Linked DNA regions of Macaca mulatta. The protein of the gene in region 2 interacts with the protein of the main gene of each other region in a pairwise test. Links are inferred from orthologs where the notes say so. Each region holds a gene or a part of one and is shown on either strand. Other genes may lie near its edges. The genes, in order: C14H11orf58 and alpha-2-macroglobulin.

Region 1 (4,370 bases), on a different chromosome or scaffold from region 2:
GGTTCTGTGGCCCAGGGGTTGGAGACCCTTGCCTTAAAGTGCAACAGTGAGTACCTTGTCCAAATGCTGCTTTCTGAAAAGCACGTGGGTGCACTATACATTTTAAGAGAGGTTCCTTAGCAGTTACTCCCCACTCTTCCCACTTCCTATAAGATCGCTTTCATTTCTCCACTCCAAGCCATTGAAACTACTTTTAAGTTGTCTTCATCCTTAATACCCTTTCCTACAGAACTGCAATCAATTTACCTTCTGAATACACACCCTGGTGACTTAGAATTTACTCCTACATTGTTAGCATTTTGCTAGAGTTGTATTCTGTGATTATCTACTTTTAATATTAAAAAAATGTTTTGTTACCCCAATTAGATGTGAGGTCAATGGGCATAAGAAAACTTCAATGATCTCTTACATACCGTGGATGCTCATTAGAAACTGTTTCCCAACTATATGTTACAGCTAGATTTTTTTTTTTTTTTTGAGACAGAATCTTGCTCTATCGCCCAGGACGGAGTGCAGTGGCCCGATCTCGGCTCACTGCAAGCCCCGCCTCCCAGGTTCACATCATTCTCCTGCCTCAGCCTCCCTAGTAGCTGGGGCTACAGGCGCCCACTACCATGGCCGGCTAATTTTTTAAATAGAGACGGGGTTTTACTGTGTTAGCCAGATGGTCTTGATCTCCTGACCTTGTGATCTGCCCACCTCGGCCTCCCAAACTGCTGGCATTACAGGTGTGAGCCACTGCACCCGGCCTGCTAGTTTTTTTTTCCTACAACAGCTTGGAGGTCTTTTAATGAATGTATTACCTATGGTTAAAAAAATTTTTTTTTTAAAGTACTGGTTGGGCGAGGTGGCTCACACCTGTAATCCCAGCACTTTGGGAGGCCAAGGTGGGCAGATTGCTCGAGTCTAGTAGTTGGAGACCAGCCTCGGCAACGCGGCAAAACCTGGTCTCTACTAAAAATACAAAAAATTAGTTGGGTGTAGTGGCGCACACCTGTAGTCCCAGCTACTGTGGTGGTGATGTGGGGAGAGGGGGTTGAATCAGGAGGATAACTTGAGCCAGGAAGGTGGAGGCTGCTGGGAGCACTGATTGTGCCACTGCACTCCACCCTGGGCAACAGAGAGAGACCGTGTCTCACCAGTCTCAAAACAAAAACAAAACCCAGGTACTTAAAGATACGCTTACATGATTGGGAAAGGTCTTAAAGGTCGTCTAATCTCTTCCAAAGCTGTAAACTTAATGACTTAATCCCTTTAACTTTGTGAAATTTCGTATCACCTGGAGATTTCTGTCACGCTAAAAGATACTTCCAAACAGGTGTCTGACATCCTAGCAATCAAGTCATATTTAAAGATCAGGAGGAAAACAATGTTAACAGCTTTTTAAGTGAGCCAGGTTACTCAAAAACGTGAATCAATTCCTGACAAAACCTGAATTACCATATTAACAAGATCGAAAAGCCAGTAGCAGAAACAACAGAGAGCAAGAATAAACTTCTCTAGATGCCCATTCATCTCCAAATCTTTATTGATAGCTAATCTTTCTGCAGAGCTGAAGTCGATTCCTTTAAAGACCCTTACTATTCCGGTCCTCGCCCCACCTCCCACTCAGAGGGGCAGGTCTTAACACCATCTCATTTGCTACAAAGTAGTATTCAGTAGGCTTTTAAAATTTTATGAAAAGCACGGAAATAGAAAAATTAAAAGCTCTATGTATTCAGAAATTTACACTACTTCAAACAAAACCGAAAAAAACTTAGATATCCCTTCATCATCCTTAAAGATGACCTCTCCGCTCCCTCTCCAACAATTTCCCCATCAACGTTGCCAAGACATTTATCCATTGTATGAAGGACCTACTTTTACGTTTACTGGTTACCTACTGTTTCCATGACACTGCGCTACGAGCTAGGGCAAATATACAAAAAGGCCTAAAATAAGCATCATATTTCTCTCCGAATTCCCAACACCCGGCACTGCAGTAAATATTTAATAGGTTACTTTAAGAGATAAACCGTTTGCTATTAAAACCTATGAGGTGGGGGCTGGAGAAGGGAACGGCATTTGATGGGGAGACGAGGTAAGAAGAACAAGGTATTAATATCCGACATCAAAATGGGCTTCTAGGTCTCAACGTCTCAGACCTCACCACCAAAGCCAGTACCAAATTACACCCGTGGCACAATTTTCGGCTCAATACTGTTCTCGGTTTACCCTTACTAGTGCAGCTAAAGTTAACTATCAACTGCACATTGCAAAAATCATCTAGGCAGGAAAATCTGTCCAAATGTGCACGAACATTTCGACATTGTCACAGGAACATTTAGAATCCAAAACAGGGAGAGTCTCGCCGTCTCTATCGTGAGCACAAAGGCCCGAGAAACCATCCTCATCGGCCCCCCAAAACGCACGTAAGAAATCCCTTGACTAAGCTCTTTCACTCCTCGACCCTCTCCGAATTTCCTTCCTCAATCCCCCTTCCTACGCAGGTCTTCGGCTCCCAGCGTGTGGGCCTCTTCAAACCTTCTCACCCTCATAAAGATTAAGGGAGACATTTCCCACTCATTCTTCTGGTTTCTCCCCTGGGCTCTCCCGCTGCGGGCCACCTCAGGCGCGTCCTCCTCCAACCACCCTTCCTGGCCTACTCCAGCCTTTCGTAGGCCTCAACCCTCTGCCACTCCGCCATTGTTATTTACATCGTCATCTGGGGAGGCCGAACGCTTCACCCCATGCGGGTGAGACTCTCTGGCAGCACTCATCCTTGCAGGGATCCCGACGAAAAATGCCGAACCCTCTAGCCGCTCTCCCCAGCCGCAACACCAGCAGCCTGCAATCCACCACCGGCCCAAGCAGCACCACTCCGGAACGCAGAGCCCCTCCCGGCCTTCTCTGCGACAGTCGTCACCGTTGCGGCCCCTCGCCGCCCCGGGGCACTTTGGGAATTGTAGTTTTCTGAGTCACCGCATACTGGCCCGAATAACAAAGATGTGTCGGTGACTAAAACTACAATTCCCAGGAAGCCCGGAAGCTCAATTCGCGCTGTGTGGCGGGAGTGCCCTCGGAGGCCCCGCCTTTGGCTGGTGGAGGGAGCGTTCTCGCGGATGAGTATGGCGGTGAGCGTTGACTGAGAGCTTGGTCGCCACAGGAGGTGGCTTAGAGGGCTTTTTGCCTTTCACGACGCTGCCCTACTGGCAAATGTATCATCGTAACTAGGCACCTGTGTTTAAATGTAATATTTCAGGCTGACTGAATCCTCACGAATACTCTCCACCCAGGACAAAAACCTTAAAAAATGGCTTCTACCATTTCCACTCCGGTGTTCTCTATTGCGCGTAGGGGATTTCTAGGTGGCCGGTGATGCTGCTTTCTAAAGGTTTTGATGAATATTTCGCTATTTTCCCATACAGAAATGAGTTCAGTATGTTGTTAAATGTTGGCTAATTGGCGGTTATTGAAAACGGGGATTCAGCTGAGGGAAATCTGTTAAGTTTTCATATGGCTTTGTGTGAGGTGGGAGTGCTCCTCACTGACCTCGCTGCAGATGTCTGGGCACCGTACGGTAGGGGCCTTCACCAAGCAAAGTCCATCCCTGCCACATAAGCCCCCCCACTTTTTTTAAAAGTAATTATTGAGATGAAATTCACACATAAAAACCATCTTAAAGTGTACAGTCCAGTGGCACTTAGTACATTCACAATCGTGTGCGGCTGTCACCTCTGATTCCAAGACGTTTCACCACTCCAAAAGGAACCCCAATGCCCGTTAGCAGTCCCTCCCCATTTCTCGCCCTCTCCAGATTCAAGTAATCGCGCCTCTACTCAAAAAGCCTTGCATTTAAAAGTATTTATTGTTAAGATACTGGAGACTATCTCCTACTTTATCAAGGTGTCTGAATCTGTAACTAGGTCTGAACTTTCTGTCAGAATCCTTGTCCTTAGTAATTCTGAAGCTTTCTCACCTTGAATACAAACGTGATTTTTTTTTTTTAAGCAAAAACTAGGCCGGGGGCGGTGGCTCAGGCCTGTAATCCCAGCATTTTGGGAGGCTGAGGCGGGTGGATCACGAGGTCAAGAGTTCGAGACCAGCCTGACCAACATGGTGAAACCACGTCTCTACTAAAAATACAAAAATTAGCCTGGCGTGGTGGCGCATGCCTGTAATCCCAGCTACTGGGGTGCTGAGGCAGGAGAATCGCTTGAACCCGCGAGGCGGAGGTTTCAGCGAGCTGAGATGGCGTCACTGCACTCCAGCTTAGGTGACAGAGCAAGACTCGATCTCTAAATAAATAAATAAATAAATAGTTAAGTGATATGGATAATACATATCTAGTGTTTCGGAACTGACAGCAGTCTGTGAAACAATGCTTAGCC
Region 2 (4,418 bases):
TTACTGACACTAGGCTGTAAGCATCTCACATGTGGACAACTCTGAAGAGATATTGTACCTTTGCTCAGGGCAATTTCTACAATTTTTACTCTTAGAAGTAGTGTGGAGCAATGTGTTCCCGTCAGTCCACCACTGGTGGCTCAAGTTGAGCCTTGGCCTAGTTTGCTTTATTAATATTTTTTCCATCTTAATTTTAAGAAGTCACATTTTGTTTTTCTTTTCCTTTCTGGCTAGTAGGTTTCTATTTGATTATTAAGTGGATTTTTAGTGTGCCTGTAAATATTTGTCTCCCATGGCTGGAGAGTCATGCATTGCTCTTCAATTTCTATACTTAGCTTGCTACATTTGAATTCTTTCTGAAGTTCTTACCAGCCTCCCAAAGCCTCATCTTGACAGAATACTAGATCCCTATGACCCTGACTAAAATAACCAAGTATATTAAGTCAAACAGCCACACTCACAGCAAAGGCGACGCAGTGGAGCACATCGTTCTCTGCCTCCAGGTCAGTGAAGAGGCTCCTGTTTCCCCTGACAGACTCCAAGGAAGCACTTACAGTCACTGTCTCGTTCAGGTAGCTCAGAAGGACACAGCCCTTCTCAGGGGTCTCAGTGTGGAGCAGGGAGGGGACCAGAACCATATACTGCCTGGGAATGAGACAGTTCAGTTAGAGGAAAGTGAAGGAAGAGAGGCATTGATATCAACAGCACTTTTTCCCATCATAATAATTGTCATCATCAGTTCTACACCAAGAGAAGACATACTGATGAGCATGAAATTTGGCTGTTGAAGGCCATGCATAAGAATTATTTCTTCTTTCCTTCACATGCCATGGCAGTGGACATTTTACTTGAGGTAGGTATTAACAGATTAAAATTTGTAGGCATGTTTCACTTTAAGGAACAATTTCTGAACATCTGAATTCAAATAAAAATATGTAGTTACATTTGTTCATGTTGTAAATCTATTTTACCTTCAAGTTGCTGTAAAAAGTAAGCAAGCTCTCAGTCATGCGGACATTACAAAAGCTAATCAAATTATAGAATTCTCATTAAAATATATATACACACATACACACACACACATATACACACATTCAGCAGCCCTATGAAAATTGTATGGTAAGTACCCGCTCCCACTCCACAAATATGGAATCTGAGCCTCAAAGAAAGTGAGCCATTGCTTTACAGTCTCAGTTGTGGTAAGCAGCTAATAAAGTCTTAAGAGTGTTACTTAACCATGGATGTTTGCATTTTAAATATTTGCCTTTCAGCTCATGATCAGACGATGGCTCCATGCAAAAACGGTCCTCTGGTGATTGACTTTAGACCTTGGTAACTCATGTGAAGTACAGAAACTTTCTCAGTACCCTGACATAATTTAAGATGAATCCTGTAGTTTTTATATGGTTTTACTCACAGAACTCCTAAAATAATTTTTGGACACTGTGCGCTCCTTACATATTTTCAAGTAAACATATTTTTATCATGATTTTAAATAATAGCAAAAGATATTATTTTTGATGATATTTTAAATTAATACTTAGATTAATTTTACAATTTTCTCATGGAATAATAAACACTGTAGTATAAGATACCTACTATCACTATTTGAAAATACATTAAAAATTCTTTTAATGATCTGATATATAATATCTTTCTCTTCTTTTTTCCTTTTCTAATTTGAATTTCCATGCCAATTACTGTACAGAAGTTTATCCTAAATTTTTATATTTCAAAAAATTTTGTGAATTATCCTTACCTCTTTATTATCAAGCATCTACACATATATGTATGTATACACATGTTCACATATATACATATATGTATACATATACATAAATACATATATATGTAACATATGTGGATAGGTAAATTTAACTTTAACTCCTCTTTTAAATAGAATGTGACCATAAATTTATAAATATTAAACATTTCCTTCTGATTGAGCTATTTAAAAAATACTTGTATATAACTGATCAAAACAAAATAAATACATTACAAAGTATGATTCATACATATTAGATATAAAATTAAAATACTTTTGAAGCACATCTTTAATGAGAATGATGAACTGCTTTTCCCCCCAGTGAATTTATGTATCCATGGATGAATAGTCCGTATTGCAAGAATTAAGCAAGATCTAACATTAATTCTGTTACTATTTTGTTTTGTGTAGATATAAGTGCTAAGAAGAATGGTTCATGTAAAAGTAAGTAAATGGCAGGTAAAACAATTGCATCACTGTTACCACTTCTTGCAACTTCTGCATTACATGCTAAAAATCACCTAGTACTCTATTATCAAGAATTGCTTCTCATCACTCATCAGCTGGTATTTCCTTTAGTTCCTTCTTTAGTTGTGTTGAAACAAAGAATTCATCACCACCTCATCTGCAAAAGGGTTTTCTCTTCTGACATTAGAATCTCTCGCTTTTTCAATATCAACACCAGTATTTCAAATTGTTCCTTTATTTGGCAGTCTACAGATTATTATACTCCAGGGCATTATTCCATGTTTGGTTGTGGGAGATAATTGTCTTTATTTTTATAAAATAGAAACTGGACCCTTAAGAAAGAGGAAATAAGAAAAGATAAATAGCATGGTCTCAAGTAGATCAATATGAACAGGAAAATCTAAATATTATTCTTTCAAAAAAACTAAAAATTTCTGACACTCCTTAGGAAGGCTTTGCATATTACAGATTCAGAGAGTTGGGGAAGAATGATGAAAAATAAGCAAGTAATGAGTAAACCAGATTTATAAAATCTGCAAGGAACCTTAGAGACAAGAAGGCGACAGTATCATAGGAAAGAAAAAGGAATGATGGAAAAATCTGCAATAAATGAAGGACTCTAGGTTAATGCTTCATGCTCTCTGTGTGGAACTCACGGTTTTCCAGAGACTGAGACATCTGTGGGCAGGAGGACCAAGAGGAGAAGAACAAGACTTGGATGAAGGAGTGTGTTCCTCCCCATGTTGCAGAAAGAAGGAGCTGGAGGAGACCAGACTGTATTACACCCTACTCCCTACAATTCATCTGGTCCCAAACACTTCCCAGAGCAACTGGGCTTTATGCTGCTCTGTGTGCAAACAGGAAGTTCCACCCACACAAGATCTCTAAACAAAGTTGAGGTCTCTGAACATTCTCTGGAAAGGTCATTGATGGCTTATTTATAGTCAAAGTTAATTCCTGGCGGGCTAAATAGAATCCCTGGAGGGCTAAAGCCACATTCCCGTAAGAGCTCACTTTCTCTGGGTTTTACCGTAAAGCAGCTAATAAGCTTTTCAACCTCTTCTCTCCCTCACTCCCCCACAACTCCTCACAACGCCTTTTATGGTGGTTCTCACATCTCTTGTATGAATAGTTGGCAAGGGAGACTACAATTTAAGCAACACTGGGCAGGCTCAAAATAGATATTTCACTACAAGTCAGCGTGGCTGCAAGTTCTCCATTAGATATGCCTACCCTAAATGTTTGAAGCCACATCAGAATTCTGTAGTCCTCTTTGAAAATGACATGAATTAAACCGGTAGCTTTTTGACATTAGGGATATTACTGGATTGCAGATGAAGAGCCAGGCCCTGAAAGAATGATCATAGCAAAGAGTTTCCTGTTTTAAGAAAGTGAAACAAAGAAAGGTGAAGTAACAGGACTTTAAAAACAAATTTTGACCTATTGTGCCTAACAGACTTCCCAACTGCCTTTAGCATCGACTACACAAACTTCCTTACTGCCTTCCAAATATGATACTCCTCTGCAAACTTTAAGTCATATAAACAGTTTCATTAGTCCATCCATCCATCCTATTCATCCATCTATTTATGTAGCTATTCAGCTGCTTTGTAAGTATTTTTTGATCCTACTAGGAGTAGACATCATGCAAGATTCTCGAGATAGAGTGGTCAAATCAGTATGAAAACAGGCACTTAAAGGTTTTTACATTCTTGTGGAGGCAAAAGCAGAAAAACAGAAAAACAACTACTGTATAAAATACAGTATAAAATACAATATAAAACTACTGTATAAAATACAGTAGCCAAACATATTATTGGAGAAGTTCAGGATGCTCTGGGAGCACATAGGAAGGGCACATAACCCAGACTTGGAACCTTTTAAAAAAATTTGGAGGGAAAGCAAAATGTAAATTAAGATCTGAAATATGAGTAGTGGTTGTCTAGAAGAACAAGGAGATGAAAAGAGCTTTCTAAGCATAAAGAATGACAGACGCAAAGGTCTGGGAGGGAGAAGAATCACGGCACATGCATGAAATGAAAACTATTTGGTATGGAGGAAATACTCCTTTCTGATGCTTCAAATCAGAAAGGAACTTGTCGACAATATTAAGGTATTCAGAGGAGTAATCAGTGGATTGACTTCAGATTTGTTTCCTGGAAAGCTTGCTCTTATTGAAATTTGA

The links.
Region 1: the proteins of alpha-2-macroglobulin (region 2) and C14H11orf58 interact in a two-hybrid assay, tested with the Homo sapiens proteins (2 studies listed by BioGRID and IntAct). The link is inferred for Macaca mulatta from reciprocal best matches to the Homo sapiens genes A2M and C11orf58.

Annotation. Positions count from the first base shown.
Region 1 is NC_133419.1:48,715,598-48,719,967, forward strand, and holds the start of C14H11orf58 (small acidic protein), read right to left. Parts: upstream 2,932-4,370; 5' UTR 2,760-2,931; coding exon 2,697-2,759; intron 1-2,696.
Region 2 is NC_133416.1:11,489,310-11,493,727, reverse strand, and holds the start of alpha-2-macroglobulin, read right to left. Parts: upstream 3,046-4,418; 5' UTR 2,976-3,045; coding exon 2,890-2,975; intron 646-2,889; coding exon 462-645; intron 1-461. UniProt on the Homo sapiens protein: Is able to inhibit all four classes of proteinases by a unique 'trapping' mechanism. This protein has a peptide stretch, called the 'bait region' which contains specific cleavage sites for different proteinases.